Saccharomyces cerevisiae S288C: one gene and its partners. The protein of the gene in region 1 interacts with the protein of each later gene in a biochemical or structural test. Each region holds a gene or a part of one and is shown in the gene's direction. Other genes may lie near its edges.

Evidence for each region. Proteins that work in one complex are often made in the same cells at the same time.
Region 2: of the proteins of UBR1 (region 1) and CHK1, one has a biochemical effect on the other in vitro, tested with the Saccharomyces cerevisiae proteins (3 studies listed by BioGRID).
Region 3: of the proteins of UBR1 (region 1) and GND1, one has a biochemical effect on the other in vitro, tested with the Saccharomyces cerevisiae proteins (one study listed by BioGRID).

What each region holds. Positions count from the first base shown.
Region 1 is NC_001139.9:858,737-868,377, reverse strand, and holds UBR1 (E3 ubiquitin-protein ligase UBR1), read left to right. Parts: upstream 1-2,624; coding exon 2,625-8,477; downstream 8,478-9,641. Other genes in the region: transcription factor IIF subunit TFG1, read right to left, coding at 1-604; tyrosine--tRNA ligase TYS1, read left to right, coding at 858-2,042; QCR9 (ubiquinol--cytochrome-c reductase subunit 9), read left to right, coding at 8,902-8,904, 9,118-9,315. UniProt on the Saccharomyces cerevisiae protein: Ubiquitin ligase protein which is a component of the N-end rule pathway. Recognizes and binds to proteins bearing specific N-terminal residues that are destabilizing according to the N-end rule, leading to their ubiquitination and subsequent degradation.
Region 2 is NC_001134.8:746,848-751,677, forward strand, and holds CHK1 (serine/threonine protein kinase CHK1), read left to right. Parts: upstream 1-2,746; coding exon 2,747-4,330; downstream 4,331-4,830. Other genes in the region: HSM3 (Hsm3p), read right to left, coding at 1-956; UBX7 (Ubx7p), read right to left, coding at 1,214-2,524; DNA-binding protein RIF1, read right to left, coding at 4,509-4,830. UniProt on the Saccharomyces cerevisiae protein: Serine/threonine-protein kinase which is required for checkpoint-mediated cell cycle arrest and activation of DNA repair in response to the presence of DNA damage or unreplicated DNA.
Region 3 is NC_001140.6:468,439-472,929, forward strand, and holds GND1 (phosphogluconate dehydrogenase (decarboxylating) GND1), read left to right. Parts: upstream 1-2,521; coding exon 2,522-3,991; downstream 3,992-4,491. Other genes in the region: RGD3 (Rgd3p), read left to right, coding at 1-2,138; SSP1 (Ssp1p), read left to right, coding at 4,306-4,491. UniProt on the Saccharomyces cerevisiae protein: Catalyzes the oxidative decarboxylation of 6-phosphogluconate to ribulose 5-phosphate and CO(2), with concomitant reduction of NADP to NADPH.

The sequences.
Region 1 (9,641 bases):
TAGGTGTCTGAGACCCATCTTTAACAGTATTATTGAGCGAGACCGTTCCTGATTTATTCATACCACCCGAGTTAGGAGTACTTCTTTCTTGCTCTGCTTTTTTTTTATACTCAGAAATTTCTTTTTGCCTTTGAACAATTTCTGCTCTTGTTAGCTGAAACTGCAAGTTTCTCGTATCCTTCCTATGCAGTCTTACGGGAAGATGGAAGTCTGTTACAGGGTTTATCTTTTTTTTACTCTGAAACTTCAAAAGATGTGTCCTCATGTTTTCTAAATCCTCCTTTGGAATAGCTCTTAAGGGAAATTCATTATATTCATTAGGATCTTCGTCCTTTACTTTAACATTGCTCCTGCCAGCATCGGCCTCGACACCGATTTGCAAAAGCATTTTCTCTCTCTCTTCAGCATACTCAGGATCATCCTTTTTGACAAGAGATCCCCTGCTGTTGTCTCCATTTGGTACGCCTGGGGAACTAGAATTGCTGCCGTTTTGACCCATTCTCATCCTCAGGAAATTTCTTCTCATTCTGTCTCTTTTAATGAAGGGAGAGGCATTCGTCGGACCTCCCCCGTTTCTACTGCCTGGTGGATTGCGTCTGGACATCCTTGCGCTTACTCGAATAGGCCTCCCTAGCTATTCTTCAACCTTTCGAACCATCCATACTTCTTACTATCATAATTTTTATTTTATCATGGAGGCGAGAAGGTCCTTATTCGAGCATCACTAAGAACGGAACTCGAACATTTACAAAGTAGAAAAATTTTATGAAAATTAATTGTTCTTTCTTCAGAATACAAATTAGTCATTGTCAAAAAGAGATTAGCATCCATAACCGCATACTCTAATTGACGATAACATGTCCTCTGCTGCCACGGTTGACCCTAATGAGGCGTTCGGTCTCATTACCAAGAACTTGCAAGAAGTCTTGAACCCACAAATCATCAAAGATGTTCTCGAAGTACAAAAGAGACATTTGAAATTATACTGGGGTACCGCGCCCACTGGAAGACCTCATTGTGGTTATTTTGTTCCTATGACCAAGCTTGCTGATTTCTTGAAAGCAGGTTGTGAAGTGACTGTTCTTTTAGCAGACTTGCACGCCTTTTTGGACAACATGAAGGCGCCATTGGAAGTGGTGAACTATAGGGCCAAATACTATGAATTGACCATCAAAGCTATCTTGAGAAGCATCAATGTTCCAATTGAAAAGCTAAAATTTGTTGTTGGCTCTTCTTACCAGCTAACTCCAGACTATACCATGGATATCTTTAGATTATCCAACATTGTTTCACAAAACGATGCTAAAAGGGCAGGCGCTGATGTTGTCAAGCAAGTCGCCAATCCATTATTGAGTGGGCTTATCTATCCTTTAATGCAAGCGTTGGACGAACAATTCTTAGATGTTGATTGCCAATTTGGTGGTGTCGACCAGAGAAAAATTTTTGTCTTAGCGGAAGAAAATTTACCAAGTTTGGGCTACAAGAAAAGAGCACATTTAATGAACCCTATGGTTCCAGGTTTGGCTCAAGGTGGTAAAATGTCTGCCTCTGATCCGAATTCAAAAATCGACCTTTTGGAAGAACCAAAGCAAGTTAAGAAAAAGATCAATAGTGCATTTTGTAGCCCCGGTAACGTCGAAGAGAATGGTTTACTGTCATTTGTCCAATATGTCATTGCACCAATCCAAGAATTGAAGTTTGGTACAAATCACTTCGAATTCTTCATTGATAGACCAGAAAAGTTCGGTGGTCCAATTACCTACAAATCCTTCGAAGAAATGAAATTGGCTTTTAAAGAAGAAAAATTGTCCCCACCTGATCTAAAAATTGGTGTTGCTGACGCTATCAACGAGCTATTGGAGCCAATCAGACAAGAATTTGCCAACAACAAGGAATTTCAAGAGGCCTCCGAAAAGGGTTATCCAGTTGCCACACCACAAAAGTCGAAAAAGGCTAAGAAACCAAAGAATAAGGGTACTAAGTACCCAGGCGCTACTAAGACCAACGAGATTGCCACGAAACTAGAGGAAACCAAATTGTAAGCATAGCTTAATCCGTTTTCACGATTCATAATATAATAAATAAGAAAAGATATATCATATAAACGTTATAAAATTAATAACCGGGTAAGTGTAGAAAAGTGATGCGACGGTTTATTTTCTCTTCCTCTTGCGATTGAATTTAACTTGCAGATAGTGACCATAAGGCAACTACCCAGTGGCAAACAGTTTTGATAACGCCCAGTACATCAACGAGCGAGTATAAAGACTTTGGTACATTTTAAAAAGGAAACATATATTGTTTTCATTGCTAGACCCTTTTAGTCTCACCTCAATAAAACTGCTTTATTCCTCATTGGGCTTTTTATTCTTTAATTTTGCATACTTATAGCGTGAAACTGGGCATTTAACAAAAGCAAACTATTTTAATAGTAGCATCCTGCTTTCTTTGCCCCTCCTTCTTATTGCGATACATTATTAAGTTTTTTTACCACCTTTCTTCCTTTTTCTTCGCATCTTCGGACAAAGGCAGTTGAAGTTTACTGTATCCTATTAGTTGACTATTTTCTCTCACTGAAGTCCCTAATCTTTACAGGTCACACAAATTACATAGAACATTCCAATATGTCCGTTGCTGATGATGATTTAGGATCTTTACAAGGTCACATTAGGAGAACACTGAGGTCTATTCATAACCTCCCCTATTTTAGGTATACGAGAGGTCCTACTGAAAGGGCTGACATGAGCAGAGCCCTTAAAGAGTTCATTTACAGATATCTATACTTTGTCATTTCTAACAGCGGAGAGAACTTACCTACTTTATTCAATGCTCATCCAAAACAAAAATTATCTAACCCAGAGCTTACTGTTTTTCCTGACAGTTTAGAAGATGCTGTGGATATTGATAAGATAACATCTCAACAAACTATTCCGTTTTATAAGATAGATGAATCCAGAATAGGAGACGTCCATAAACATACCGGAAGAAATTGTGGGAGGAAATTCAAAATAGGGGAACCCTTGTATAGGTGTCATGAGTGTGGTTGCGATGATACTTGTGTGCTTTGTATTCATTGTTTTAATCCAAAAGATCATGTGAATCATCATGTTTGTACCGATATATGTACTGAATTCACTAGTGGAATTTGTGACTGTGGAGATGAAGAAGCTTGGAATTCTCCACTTCATTGCAAAGCTGAAGAACAAGAAAACGATATATCGGAAGATCCCGCCACAAATGCCGACATAAAGGAAGAAGATGTATGGAATGATTCAGTGAATATAGCATTAGTGGAGTTGGTTCTTGCAGAAGTGTTTGACTATTTTATCGATGTTTTTAACCAGAATATCGAACCTCTACCCACAATACAGAAAGATATCACTATCAAATTAAGAGAGATGACACAACAGGGAAAAATGTATGAAAGAGCGCAGTTTTTAAACGATTTAAAATATGAAAACGATTATATGTTTGACGGAACAACAACAGCAAAGACGAGCCCCTCTAATAGCCCTGAGGCATCTCCATCGCTTGCGAAAATCGATCCCGAAAATTACACGGTAATAATATATAACGATGAATATCATAACTATTCGCAGGCTACGACTGCCTTGAGACAGGGGGTTCCAGATAACGTACACATTGATCTATTAACATCCAGGATTGACGGAGAAGGTCGAGCAATGTTGAAATGTTCACAAGATTTATCATCTGTCTTAGGTGGTTTTTTTGCTGTTCAAACGAATGGATTAAGTGCCACTTTAACATCGTGGTCAGAATATCTTCATCAAGAAACATGCAAGTATATCATCCTTTGGATTACACACTGTTTAAACATACCAAACTCCTCCTTCCAAACCACTTTTAGGAACATGATGGGTAAAACCCTGTGTTCAGAATACTTAAATGCAACAGAATGTCGTGATATGACACCGGTGGTGGAGAAATATTTCAGCAACAAGTTCGATAAGAATGATCCCTACAGATACATCGATTTATCTATCCTTGCAGATGGCAATCAAATTCCTTTGGGTCATCACAAAATTCTACCCGAATCAAGCACCCATTCACTTTCACCATTGATAAATGATGTAGAAACTCCAACATCAAGAACATATTCTAATACAAGATTACAACATATTCTTTATTTTGATAACAGATATTGGAAAAGACTGAGAAAAGATATTCAGAATGTGATCATTCCAACGTTGGCCTCTTCAAATTTATACAAGCCCATTTTCTGTCAACAGGTAGTCGAAATATTCAACCACATCACAAGATCTGTGGCATATATGGATAGAGAACCTCAGCTAACAGCTATAAGAGAGTGTGTCGTACAGTTATTTACATGCCCTACGAATGCCAAAAATATTTTCGAAAACCAAAGTTTTTTGGATATTGTGTGGTCAATTATAGACATTTTTAAGGAGTTTTGTAAGGTGGAAGGTGGTGTATTGATCTGGCAGAGAGTTCAAAAAAGCAATTTAACAAAGAGTTACAGTATATCATTCAAGCAAGGGTTGTATACAGTTGAAACTTTATTGAGTAAGGTACATGATCCTAATATTCCATTGAGACCTAAGGAAATAATATCTCTATTAACTCTTTGCAAGCTCTTCAATGGAGCGTGGAAGATAAAGCGTAAAGAAGGTGAACATGTTCTTCACGAAGATCAAAATTTCATCTCCTATTTAGAATATACCACCTCCATTTACAGTATTATTCAAACAGCGGAAAAAGTTAGCGAAAAATCAAAAGATTCCATTGATTCAAAGCTTTTTTTAAATGCAATAAGAATTATCAGTTCATTTCTAGGCAATAGATCACTAACATACAAGTTAATATATGATTCTCATGAAGTCATTAAGTTTAGCGTAAGCCACGAAAGAGTTGCATTTATGAATCCTTTACAAACAATGCTTTCATTCCTTATCGAAAAAGTGTCTTTAAAGGATGCATACGAAGCGTTAGAAGACTGTTCAGATTTTCTGAAAATATCGGATTTCTCTTTGAGATCAGTTGTATTGTGCTCTCAAATTGACGTCGGGTTTTGGGTAAGAAATGGTATGTCTGTGTTACATCAAGCATCGTATTATAAAAACAATCCCGAATTAGGTTCCTATTCCAGAGATATACATTTGAATCAGTTAGCTATCCTTTGGGAACGTGATGACATTCCGAGAATAATATACAATATTCTTGATAGATGGGAATTACTAGACTGGTTTACAGGTGAAGTTGACTATCAACACACTGTCTATGAGGATAAAATTTCATTCATCATTCAACAATTCATTGCCTTTATTTATCAAATATTGACCGAAAGACAATATTTTAAAACTTTCTCTTCTCTAAAGGATAGAAGAATGGATCAAATCAAAAATTCAATCATTTATAACCTTTACATGAAACCCCTTTCGTATTCAAAGCTACTAAGATCAGTTCCTGACTACCTAACTGAAGATACTACCGAGTTTGACGAAGCACTTGAAGAAGTCTCTGTTTTCGTTGAGCCTAAGGGCTTGGCCGACAATGGTGTTTTTAAATTAAAAGCAAGCTTGTATGCAAAGGTTGATCCGTTAAAGTTGCTGAATTTGGAAAACGAATTCGAAAGTAGTGCAACTATTATTAAATCACATTTGGCTAAGGATAAGGATGAAATAGCAAAAGTTGTACTAATACCCCAAGTCTCAATAAAACAGTTAGATAAAGACGCTCTCAATCTGGGTGCTTTTACAAGGAATACGGTATTTGCCAAAGTGGTCTATAAACTACTCCAGGTATGTCTGGATATGGAGGATAGCACTTTCCTGAATGAGCTACTACATTTAGTTCATGGTATATTCAGGGATGATGAATTGATAAATGGTAAGGACTCTATACCAGAAGCTTATTTGTCAAAGCCTATATGTAATTTACTCTTGAGCATAGCCAATGCTAAATCAGACGTATTTTCCGAGAGTATTGTCCGTAAAGCCGACTATTTGTTAGAGAAGATGATAATGAAAAAACCAAATGAACTTTTTGAGTCATTAATTGCCAGTTTTGGCAACCAATACGTTAATGATTATAAGGATAAGAAACTACGCCAAGGAGTTAACTTACAAGAGACAGAGAAGGAACGAAAAAGAAGATTGGCCAAGAAACATCAAGCAAGGCTTCTAGCCAAGTTTAACAATCAACAAACGAAATTCATGAAAGAACATGAGTCTGAATTTGATGAGCAGGATAACGATGTTGACATGGTCGGTGAAAAAGTATATGAATCGGAGGATTTTACCTGCGCACTATGTCAAGATTCCAGTTCGACCGATTTTTTTGTGATACCTGCGTACCATGATCATTCCCCGATATTTAGACCTGGTAATATTTTTAACCCAAATGAATTTATGCCCATGTGGGATGGTTTCTACAACGATGATGAAAAACAAGCTTATATTGACGATGATGTTTTAGAGGCTTTGAAGGAAAACGGTAGTTGTGGATCTAGGAAAGTATTTGTATCCTGTAATCATCACATTCATCATAACTGCTTCAAGAGGTACGTTCAAAAAAAGAGATTTTCATCAAACGCGTTTATATGTCCTTTATGCCAAACATTTTCGAATTGTACTTTACCTCTTTGTCAAACCTCAAAGGCAAATACTGGTTTGTCGCTAGATATGTTTTTGGAATCAGAACTTTCTTTGGATACATTGTCAAGGCTCTTCAAACCTTTTACTGAGGAAAATTATCGTACAATAAACTCTATATTTTCGTTGATGATATCTCAGTGTCAAGGTTTTGATAAAGCGGTAAGAAAGCGGGCCAACTTTTCGCATAAGGACGTTTCTTTAATATTAAGTGTGCACTGGGCAAATACCATTTCAATGTTAGAAATTGCTTCTAGGTTAGAAAAGCCATACAGTATTTCATTTTTCAGAAGCAGGGAACAGAAATACAAAACTTTAAAAAATATATTAGTCTGCATTATGCTGTTCACCTTTGTCATAGGCAAGCCAAGTATGGAGTTTGAACCGTACCCGCAGCAGCCCGATACTGTTTGGAACCAAAATCAACTCTTCCAATATATTGTTCGAAGCGCTTTATTTTCTCCAGTTTCACTTCGTCAGACTGTTACAGAGGCGTTAACAACGTTCTCTAGACAGTTTCTAAGAGATTTTCTTCAGGGTCTTTCTGATGCAGAACAGGTTACCAAATTGTATGCTAAAGCGTCCAAAATTGGGGATGTTCTTAAAGTAAGTGAGCAGATGCTCTTCGCCCTAAGGACCATATCTGATGTACGAATGGAGGGATTGGACTCCGAAAGTATTATTTATGATCTAGCTTATACCTTCCTGTTGAAGAGTCTTCTTCCTACGATAAGAAGGTGCTTAGTCTTTATCAAAGTGCTACACGAATTAGTGAAAGATTCTGAAAATGAAACGCTGGTCATCAACGGTCATGAGGTTGAAGAAGAACTGGAATTCGAAGATACCGCCGAGTTTGTCAATAAGGCATTGAAAATGATTACTGAAAAAGAATCCTTAGTCGATCTTTTGACAACGCAGGAGTCCATTGTATCGCATCCATATTTGGAGAACATCCCATATGAATATTGTGGGATTATAAAACTGATAGATTTATCAAAATATTTGAATACTTACGTTACCCAATCTAAGGAAATCAAGCTACGTGAAGAGCGTTCTCAGCATATGAAGAATGCGGATAATCGATTAGATTTCAAAATATGTTTGACATGTGGTGTCAAAGTGCATTTAAGAGCGGACCGCCATGAAATGACCAAGCATTTGAATAAAAATTGTTTTAAACCATTTGGCGCCTTCCTGATGCCCAATTCAAGTGAAGTTTGTCTCCATTTGACACAGCCTCCTTCTAATATTTTTATATCTGCACCATATCTAAATTCGCATGGTGAAGTTGGTAGAAATGCCATGAGAAGAGGTGATTTAACCACCTTGAATTTGAAAAGATATGAGCACTTAAACAGATTATGGATTAACAATGAAATTCCAGGTTATATTAGTAGAGTAATGGGTGACGAATTTCGAGTGACTATACTTTCCAATGGTTTCTTGTTTGCATTTAATAGAGAACCAAGGCCAAGAAGAATACCTCCAACAGATGAAGATGATGAAGATATGGAAGAGGGAGAAGACGGGTTTTTTACGGAGGGAAATGACGAAATGGATGTTGATGATGAAACTGGACAGGCCGCCAACTTATTTGGGGTTGGCGCAGAAGGTATTGCTGGTGGCGGAGTACGTGATTTTTTCCAATTCTTCGAAAACTTTAGGAACACTCTACAACCGCAGGGAAATGGCGATGATGATGCACCTCAGAATCCCCCACCAATATTGCAGTTCTTAGGACCTCAATTTGATGGAGCTACTATCATAAGAAATACAAATCCAAGAAACCTCGATGAGGATGACTCTGATGATAATGATGACTCTGATGAGCGAGAGATTTGGTAGATTCAAGCCCTCTACTATGTTTTATAGTTGACATATTTGTATATAAAAACTTATACATTATTAAACATTTGCGCGTCGATTGACTTTTATTTATTATTAACAAAGAAGTAATACCAACCTAATTACAAATACTTCGAAGTGACTATCATAAGTTTCCTTATCTAGCGAAGGCAACTTTTGAACTCCCCAGTTGTTAATATGTATCATTATACACGACCCAATCAAACGCGGGGAAGTCAATGCCGAAAGAATTCTAGGACCTAAAAGCTGCTCAATCCTTGGGCCTTTCCCTAATGACATCCCCTCTCAAACTTTAGCTTAGCAGTTGTATTTAATGTCCTGTCACGGATAGTCAATAATCGTTGAAGGTTGATTTTCATATCCTTCGCAATTTCGTAAAGCAACAATAGCAATACGGACTAAAATGGTATGTTGGTGTGTGTGTGTGCTGCTTCACATTTCAGGCTAAAAATGTTATCCGTGGAATCTTCCTTAGCCAAGTATCATGGGCTTTGGAAATTAGTTTCCCACCGATGAGCGCAACGACTTAGCGAAGCTTATGAAATTGGTGACAGCAGCTCTATGAATATGTTCCATGCGTTTCCATTCAGGTTACTAACAATGCATAAATTATGAGTAGTCTTTTTCATCACTATATAAAACCTTTTTCAAACGAAACGCTGTTTTTGTTGGTACTATCTTTGCAGGTGCCTTTGTTTTCCAAACTGTATTTGATACTGCTATTACTTCATGGTACGAGAATCACAACAAAGGAAAATTATGGAAAGATGTCAAGGCTCGAATAGCTGCAGGCGATGGAGACGACGATGATGAGTAAACGCTGATTATGTCACACATATACGTGCAAACGCTCTCTCTCTCTCTCAAGCTATATAAGTGGCACTCGTCTTATTTATTATTTTTTTATTTTGGCTGGTTGTTCATGTTCAACCCAACCTCATAAAGGCACTCAACTTCATATTTTGACACAAATCTATGTCTCGCCAAAGCGCATTCAAATTTCAGAATGGAAATAGACACGAACGAGCCTGTCTGTCAGATGTTCACAAAATCCTTATTATAATTTTATATTCTACTAAAGGAAAAAGAGAATTAGGAAAAAGAATAACTCATTTTATGTATATACATATATTTTGTACATAT
Region 2 (4,830 bases), on another chromosome or scaffold:
TCGGACCCAATTTTTAAAGAATCTTTGTCCATAGTCTTGAATAAAGAATATTCATCTTCCTCAATTCGTGACACCTCTGCGAATAACTGTAAAAGACAATTTGTAGAAAAGGCCCTGACATCAGGATAGTTCTCCGTGTCTTCAAAAAGTTGAGCAAATACTGGCAGTATTTTTTTTACATGTCTTAAAGCCCAGTATTTATCTTGATTTCGTATTTCCAGCAAAAACTTAGTATAATAATTAACCAATTCGATGAAAACGAGGATATCTTCAACGGATTTCAGTATCTCTTCTTTAGTAAAGCAAAATATGATATCCTTGAACTCAGGACCGCTGATGAATTGAAACTCAATAGTCAAGAAGTCAATTAATCTGACAAAAGAAACCGTTTCCATTCTACCCTTTACGCTCACCAGGTATGGCAAATTATTATCAAATAATCGACGCCTAATCAATTCATCTGTACTCAACCTTTCCAACGCTTTTTCGATTGCTGTAATGAGCTTATCATTCTCCACTTTCTCATCAAATAGAATATCCAATAGAATATCGATGATATTACTGGTCGCGAATAAACCCTTTGGCTGCGAATTCTCAATGACTCTACATGCTGCTACTTTTAATGGATCTATTTCTGACCTAAGGGCCTTCACTAAGTCCTCCGCGCTATAAACTTCTAGAACATCGTCAAAATCAGCCATGGGAACAAGCTTGTCCACAACGTCCAAAAGGTAATCGTAATTCAATGAATCATAGGATACGTTAGACGTCAGAAAACGCTTGATCGTAGCCAGTAGTGGTTTAACATCCATATCTGGAAGGGAGACAACAGTCACAAGATTCAAAGAACATTTCCTTAATAGTGTGTTGATATCTTCAGGCAAGTTATCTTCATTAAGTTCATTTTCTAATTGCGTAAGGAGATTTTCCACGTAATTTGTTTCTTTCTCACTCATTGCTCCTGTTTCGCTGAGTTCTTTTGCGGTGATTATAGTTGTAAACTTGTTTTATTTTTAATCCCGTAATTAAGGTGTTTATATAAACTTACTCTTCAATTTTTCTATATGCATTTGAAACAGAAAAAAAGATATAAAAATACCAGCTATAACAAAAATCCATGTAAATAAAATTACTGTATATTTTTTTATGTAATCTAATCAAAAAAAATTCACGTCTAATACTAGTCATAAATGGAGTTGAAGCCATTAACTACTTATTTTTTATCTTCGTCCTTTTTCTTTTCTAAATGGACATTATTACCATTAAAGGTTGTTGGGTCTTCAGGATCTTCTTGATGATCGTTGTTAACAAATTGGAAAACATTTGGCGAGACAGAACGTGACGTAGTAAGGTTGGTTTCCGATGGGTACCTGGTTCCGCTAGGTGTCAGCATTGGTGATGCATGAGCAGATGATTGAACTGGTTCCCGAACATTGTTGTATTGGAAACAGCTTGACGAAGCAGCTCCAGATAAAGGTGTTGAAGACCTCACTTCGTGACGATTCGGCTTCGATGTTTCCTCACGTTGTGATGTTACTTCAGGATCTTTATCGTTGTGCCACCACGTAGAGAATCCCTTATAAAGACGGCCCAAAAGGCTTGGTCCCTCCATCCCAGTCACAGATAGCCCCGAGTTTTGAGTTTCTAGTGGTTTAAGTAATAATGCAGACCTTGGAGTTAGTTCTAGTGTCTCTAGCGTCTTCAATTCATCAGAATCCTTAAATGTCACTCTGGGAATGCCCCTGTGGAATGAGTACGGGCAGTCTCCATCTGTCCTGTTGACGTCCACCCATTTTCTAACGTCATTTAATGTTTCAGACGAGTTGAACTCATGTTTTAGAGTCTTGCCATCAGTCATCCTGATTTGCAAGACGCATTTGCTGCTGTGCAGTTTTTGTGCGTCTTTTATGTAATCATGAACATCCAATGGCTTATCATCATCAAGGGTTCTGTGATGAGTTTCATCAAGAGCTTTTCTTTCTGCACGGTCTGCCCTAACAAGTCTTATAATTCTTTCTCTTTCCTCCTCAGCCAGCTTTCTTTGTTTCAGTTGTTCACGACGTTGGATCTCTAAGGTAGTCTCAGCAATCCGTTCTCTTGCATTTTTCCTATGGACGTCTCTGGATGACTTTTCTTCTCTAGCCAAACCTGGATTGGTTTCCCTGGACGAACTCTCACCAGCCTTTTTGTCTTTGATGCCTATGCACGCCAGCAACTTCTCCCAATGTCGGTCATCCTCGCCTTGAATAATCAATTCTATCTTTCCAGCACGTATCAAGTATATACTGGGTACAACTACATTAGGAAATACTTGCTCAAATAACTGGAACTGCTCAGTGTCTTTGACCAACCTCAACCAAATACTATGTTCCGCTAAAGTATCTAATGAGACATCATCTCCTTTAAACCAACTTTTCAGCCACTGGTCATCCCGTGCAGTGTTGTAAACGGCCAGCACAACGCCTTCCTTGATGGAATCGTTTATTGCTTCTTCCACAGAATCTCTAAACAGTGCTTCTAACATTTGGTTACGGCTGTTTGGTTTAGCTATCCTTGCTTCTTTGTAAGTGCTTTCAACCTCAACCCAGCTCCCTTTTAAATTTTCAACATTACTACGAGGCCTGCCGAAGTTAATAAAGAGCGGCTTTAAATGTCATTTTAATAATTGAATGGCAAATAAAAACAACTACAGCTTCAAACATAAGAGTATATCATAAGTTGCTGTATATGGGCAGCACGTATTACTATGAGTCTCTCGCAGGTGTCACCTTTACCCCATATCAAGGATGTTGTTTTAGGAGATACAGTAGGCCAAGGCGCATTCGCCTGCGTTAAAAATGCTCATCTTCAAATGGATCCCTCCATTATTCTAGCTGTTAAATTCATTCATGTTCCCACTTGCAAAAAAATGGGACTCAGTGACAAGGATATCACAAAAGAGGTTGTTTTGCAATCGAAGTGTTCTAAGCATCCTAATGTTTTGAGACTTATCGATTGTAATGTCTCTAAAGAATATATGTGGATAATTCTGGAGATGGCAGATGGTGGTGATCTATTTGATAAGATTGAGCCTGACGTTGGAGTTGATTCCGACGTGGCCCAATTTTACTTTCAACAGCTCGTTAGTGCTATTAATTATCTGCATGTAGAATGTGGAGTTGCTCACAGAGACATCAAGCCTGAAAACATCTTACTCGATAAGAACGGAAATCTGAAGCTAGCTGATTTTGGGCTCGCCTCTCAATTTAGGAGGAAAGATGGTACATTACGTGTATCCATGGATCAAAGGGGTTCTCCACCCTACATGGCTCCTGAAGTATTATATTCTGAAGAGGGTTATTACGCAGATCGAACAGATATATGGTCTATTGGCATCCTCTTGTTCGTATTGTTGACTGGTCAAACGCCTTGGGAATTACCTTCATTAGAGAACGAAGATTTCGTCTTTTTTATTGAAAATGATGGAAATTTAAACTGGGGACCCTGGTCAAAGATAGAATTTACTCACTTGAACCTACTCCGAAAAATTTTACAACCTGACCCAAATAAGAGGGTGACATTGAAGGCTTTAAAGTTACATCCTTGGGTATTACGTCGAGCTTCATTTTCTGGGGATGATGGTCTCTGTAATGACCCTGAACTCTTGGCTAAGAAACTGTTTTCTCACTTAAAAGTCTCACTGAGTAACGAAAATTATTTGAAATTCACTCAAGATACAAACTCTAATAATAGGTACATTTCTACTCAGCCAATTGGTAACGAATTGGCTGAGCTTGAACACGACTCAATGCATTTCCAGACAGTTTCGAATACACAACGTGCATTTACCTCGTATGATTCAAATACGAACTATAATAGCGGAACAGGTATGACACAAGAGGCTAAGTGGACGCAATTCATAAGCTATGATATCGCTGCCTTACAGTTTCATTCTGATGAAAATGATTGTAATGAATTAGTAAAACGACATTTACAATTTAATCCGAATAAACTTACCAAGTTCTACACGTTGCAACCTATGGATGTTTTGTTACCGATTTTGGAGAAAGCCTTGAATTTATCACAAATTAGAGTAAAACCCGACCTTTTTGCGAATTTTGAAAGATTGTGCGAATTATTGGGTTATGATAACGTTTTCCCACTTATTATAAATATTAAAACCAAAAGTAATGGGGGTTATCAATTATGCGGTAGCATTTCCATCATAAAGATTGAAGAAGAGTTGAAAAGTGTCGGATTTGAAAGAAAAACTGGTGATCCTTTAGAATGGAGAAGATTGTTCAAGAAAATTTCAACTATCTGTAGGGATATTATCCTAATTCCCAACTGAAAAAAATGGAGACAAAAGAAGGGTTAAGATGCACTGATCAAAAAAAAAAAAAAATTCTTTCTACTTATTATATATCTCTCTCGATTTCTAGTGTGTCATCGTAACTATATATTGTTTCGAGAGATTTTATTATTGTAATTAATTTATTGCCATTTTGATCTATTCTACATACTAACAATCAATTCATATCATTATCCCTGTTTGAGTAATATTCGAGCCTCATCATAAAATCTAATAATTCAATTCTCAAGTTTCTTCTTTCTTCCACAGATATTCCGTTCAAGTCGCCCGGTGTGAACCCTCTCAATCTGGCCACTAACCTTCTCGACTTTTTTGAAAAAAAGTGCACTTTTAATGAAGGTGTGGCTTCCCTAGATGTAGCATCTTCGTTACCATCTCCCCCCAACAAAGGTTCGCCATCTGCTTCTGTGTGGGCTTGGCCTAATTGAATTTCATGGTGTTTTTCTTTTCCACCAATTGTTTTTGGTACGGTGTCTAAG
Region 3 (4,491 bases), on another chromosome or scaffold:
TTTGGAAACCAACATTGAACAATTTACAAAAAATGGAAGCAACCAATTCAATGAATAGCAGGCTGCTGGAAGTGATGAGCAAACAGTTTAATATAATATCAACAGAGCAAGTTGAAAGAGATTGTAAAATTCCATTGCAAGAACTAAGAGATCTTAATGAGAGCTTCCTTCGTGAGGCAGAAAACGATTTGTCATCTCGTTATTCAGCTTACATTAAGGATTTAGTCGCAGCTAAAGAGGCACTAATTGGATGTGAGAAAAGAGTTCAGTCTATATATAAATTGAAAAAAGCCAATACGCCAGTGGAAAATTCTTCCTCTGTTTTTGATAATGGAAAGGATAGTGCACCGTTAACCAGGTTGAACTTCGTATGCGAGTTTCCTTACACTTTAGACGAGAGGTTAAAATTTGAGGATTGCGACCAATTTATGTCATTTTTGCAAACCTTGAAGGGAAAAGTCATCCTGGAGAAAAGTGTCTTTTCCGTTCCAGGATTGTCAAATCAAAGTTTCCAAGGCAGGTCATTGATCAAAGAATTGAAAAAACTTGAACCCAGACTAAACCTGTCCTTATTTAATATCGATAGGATAGGTAACGAATTCATCCAACTGGGTATAATACAAGAATATTCCCTGAGTTTTTACTCTAGCAAAGTTTCTCAGTTTGACCAGGAAAAATACTATTACTGGAACAGTGAAGTCCTTGCTACGCAAGAGAGTAATGGTAATGCTGGAAACAGAAAAAAAAAATCGTATGGTGAGTTAACACACTCCGACAATGAACACGAAGAAAAGTCCAACGTTTCATCTATCAAAACATCTATATCCGATTGGATCCGCAAAGTTAGTCAACATGATAATGATGATTGCGATGCAGCGGGAAGTACAGATATGAATAAAAATGAGTGGAAGAGTTTAAAACAGCAACTTGAATCATCACAAGATATTTTTTTCTCCAAGTGTTGCCAGTTGGAATATTCTAAAGTGCAGTTGGAAAAAACCATTTATGATTATTGTAAAAATTACTCTAAAATGGAGGACGGAATCAAACGAGCTCTAGAATCATCAAACATGATGTTTCAACAAAAATGTGAAAAATTTACTGACTCACCTGTGTGTTCTCTACAAGAAGCACAACTGCCACAGGAAACTGCCAATGCGGATGTAAGAGGGTTTTTCCTCAGGGATAATGGCATACCCTTTCGCAGGTGGAATATCCTAGAAGCGAGTGATCCAGTCGACGCTTGCAAAGAAATCTCCATAAAAAGCGAAAAGTTTTTCTGTGGTAGTGAAATAAATAATGAACTGGCTGCTCTTGATACGTTAGGGGCAATAAAGATTATACTGCGGCAGATTGAAAAGGAACCAAATGCTAATAAAGTCATACAAAGTTGGCACAGGGATATTGATTTTGTAAGGGTTTCTAATTTGAAAAGAGACTTATTGGGGGAATTCAAAGGATCGAAAACTACCGAAAATACAAACTCTATAATCACTGCTCATTTTTTTGAAAACTCGCACAGCTATGTCACTAATGATCTCGTCGGACTGATAAAATTATGGCTGTTAGAGCTACCCGACAGCCTAATACCTTCAAACCACTACGATGACTTAATTAAGGCCGAAAAATCGCTAACATCCCTATGTGAACAGTTTCCGACGAGCTCCTTAAGGTTTCTACAAGAACTAGCAAACCATTTTCAATTGATCAATAGCAAATACTCACTTCCGCCGCAAACAATACAAGATTTGTTTAGAGACAACAGTGACATAGACATACCATTGGCCCATCACTTCGTAAGAAGAACAGGCTTACAGAACCCTATCGACATCAAAATCTTGTCACCAACATTATCTACATTTTTCATCAACGAAAGAACTGTAGAAACTTTGCAAACGTTGATCGCAAACAGGATCACGACGGCAACTACTGCGACACTCACTGAACCGCCGACGATAATTATAAAGGATACAACGGCACCTATACACTCTACCCCTAAGCCACCGCCAAACGACAAGGATGGCCATTTCATACCTCGGCCATTCAAGACTAGTTCTACTCCGACAACCCCAGAGAGACCTAAACGTAAGAGTGGTTTATTCCTTCCCATCAACGTCAACGATGTCCCTTCTACATAACTCCATGCATGCTACATAGTAACTACGTAAATCACCTGCTACCTCTCTGTTCTTTCGTCCCGCCTCGAGGTTGTGCTGCTTTTGTACCTATTGTGGCTGTCGGTGTTACATTACGGTGCCTCGGTGTTACGCGGTGCTTCGTCCTGGTGGTCCACGCGGCCTTGCGCTTTGGCCTTGGTGGGCTTCGAGGCTGTATTATATAAATGGGCCTGATGTTCGTTAAAAGCTGCAGTATTGTTCCTGAGCTTGTTTCTTTTTCAAAGGTTTCCTTTTTTCTTAGTGGGGTCCTTTCTTACATAATAAAGTAAATAGCCTGATACATATAAACCTGTATTGTTGCCATTACAGAAAAAAGCCACTTTCTATACAAAAACTACAATAAAATGTCTGCTGATTTCGGTTTGATTGGTTTGGCCGTCATGGGTCAAAATTTGATCTTGAACGCTGCTGACCACGGTTTCACTGTTTGTGCTTACAACAGAACTCAATCCAAGGTCGACCATTTCTTGGCCAATGAAGCTAAGGGCAAATCTATCATCGGTGCTACTTCCATTGAAGATTTCATCTCCAAATTGAAGAGACCTAGAAAGGTCATGCTTTTGGTTAAAGCTGGTGCTCCAGTTGACGCTTTGATCAACCAAATCGTCCCACTTTTGGAAAAGGGTGATATTATCATCGATGGTGGTAACTCTCACTTCCCAGATTCTAATAGACGTTACGAAGAATTGAAGAAGAAGGGTATTCTTTTCGTTGGTTCTGGTGTCTCCGGTGGTGAGGAAGGTGCCCGTTACGGTCCATCTTTGATGCCAGGTGGTTCTGAAGAAGCTTGGCCACATATTAAGAACATCTTCCAATCCATCTCTGCTAAATCCGACGGTGAACCATGTTGCGAATGGGTTGGCCCAGCCGGTGCTGGTCACTACGTCAAGATGGTTCACAACGGTATTGAATACGGTGATATGCAATTGATTTGTGAAGCTTATGACATCATGAAGAGATTGGGTGGGTTTACCGATAAGGAAATCAGTGACGTTTTTGCCAAATGGAACAATGGTGTCTTGGATTCCTTCTTGGTCGAAATTACCAGAGATATTTTGAAATTCGACGACGTCGACGGTAAGCCATTAGTTGAAAAAATCATGGATACTGCTGGTCAAAAGGGTACTGGTAAGTGGACTGCCATCAACGCCTTGGATTTGGGTATGCCAGTTACTTTGATTGGTGAAGCTGTCTTTGCCCGTTGTCTATCTGCTTTGAAGAACGAGAGAATTAGAGCCTCCAAGGTCTTACCAGGCCCAGAAGTTCCAAAAGACGCCGTCAAGGACAGAGAACAATTTGTCGATGATTTGGAACAAGCTTTGTATGCTTCCAAGATTATTTCTTACGCTCAAGGTTTCATGTTGATCCGTGAAGCTGCTGCTACTTATGGCTGGAAACTAAACAACCCTGCCATCGCTTTGATGTGGAGAGGTGGTTGTATCATTAGATCTGTTTTCTTGGGTCAAATCACAAAGGCCTACAGAGAAGAACCAGATTTGGAAAACTTGTTGTTCAACAAGTTCTTCGCTGATGCCGTCACCAAGGCTCAATCTGGTTGGAGAAAGTCAATTGCGTTGGCTACCACCTACGGTATCCCAACACCAGCCTTTTCCACCGCTTTGTCTTTCTACGATGGGTACAGATCTGAAAGATTGCCAGCCAACTTACTACAAGCTCAACGTGACTACTTTGGTGCTCACACTTTCAGAGTGTTGCCAGAATGTGCTTCTGACAACTTGCCAGTAGACAAGGATATCCATATCAACTGGACTGGCCACGGTGGTAATGTTTCTTCCTCTACATACCAAGCTTAAAGGAAATCTCCAACCTGGACATAAACCAAAAAAATTTAATGAAATAGATTAGTTATAGTAAAAGTAATCATAATAATAAATAGATAAATAAATCCAAATGCAATTATAAATAGTATATGAAGTTATGTGTTTTCTAAAATATTAAAGGTTTATAAACGGGGTCCCGAAACTATCTCCATTTCTTTTTTTTTTTTTACGTAAGGAAAGGCAAACAGGCGACACAAAATCATGAAGTCAGAAAATAAAATAAAAGTGAAAAATTTCACAATAGTGCCTATTATCATGATAGAAGTAGAGTAGAAAAGCTAGCAACAATGAGAAGCTCTGGCACATATGAGAATGATCCTTCTGGGGAAATAACCTCAACTTCCCCAAAGCAGTCGAAGCAGAAAAAGCCTACCAAATTTAGGGAAAGAATGCGCAGGTGGTTACAAAATGGGAAAAATAACAACCACCAAGGAGAGGAGGATGTTCCTGAAATATTTAACAAGAATTTTTAT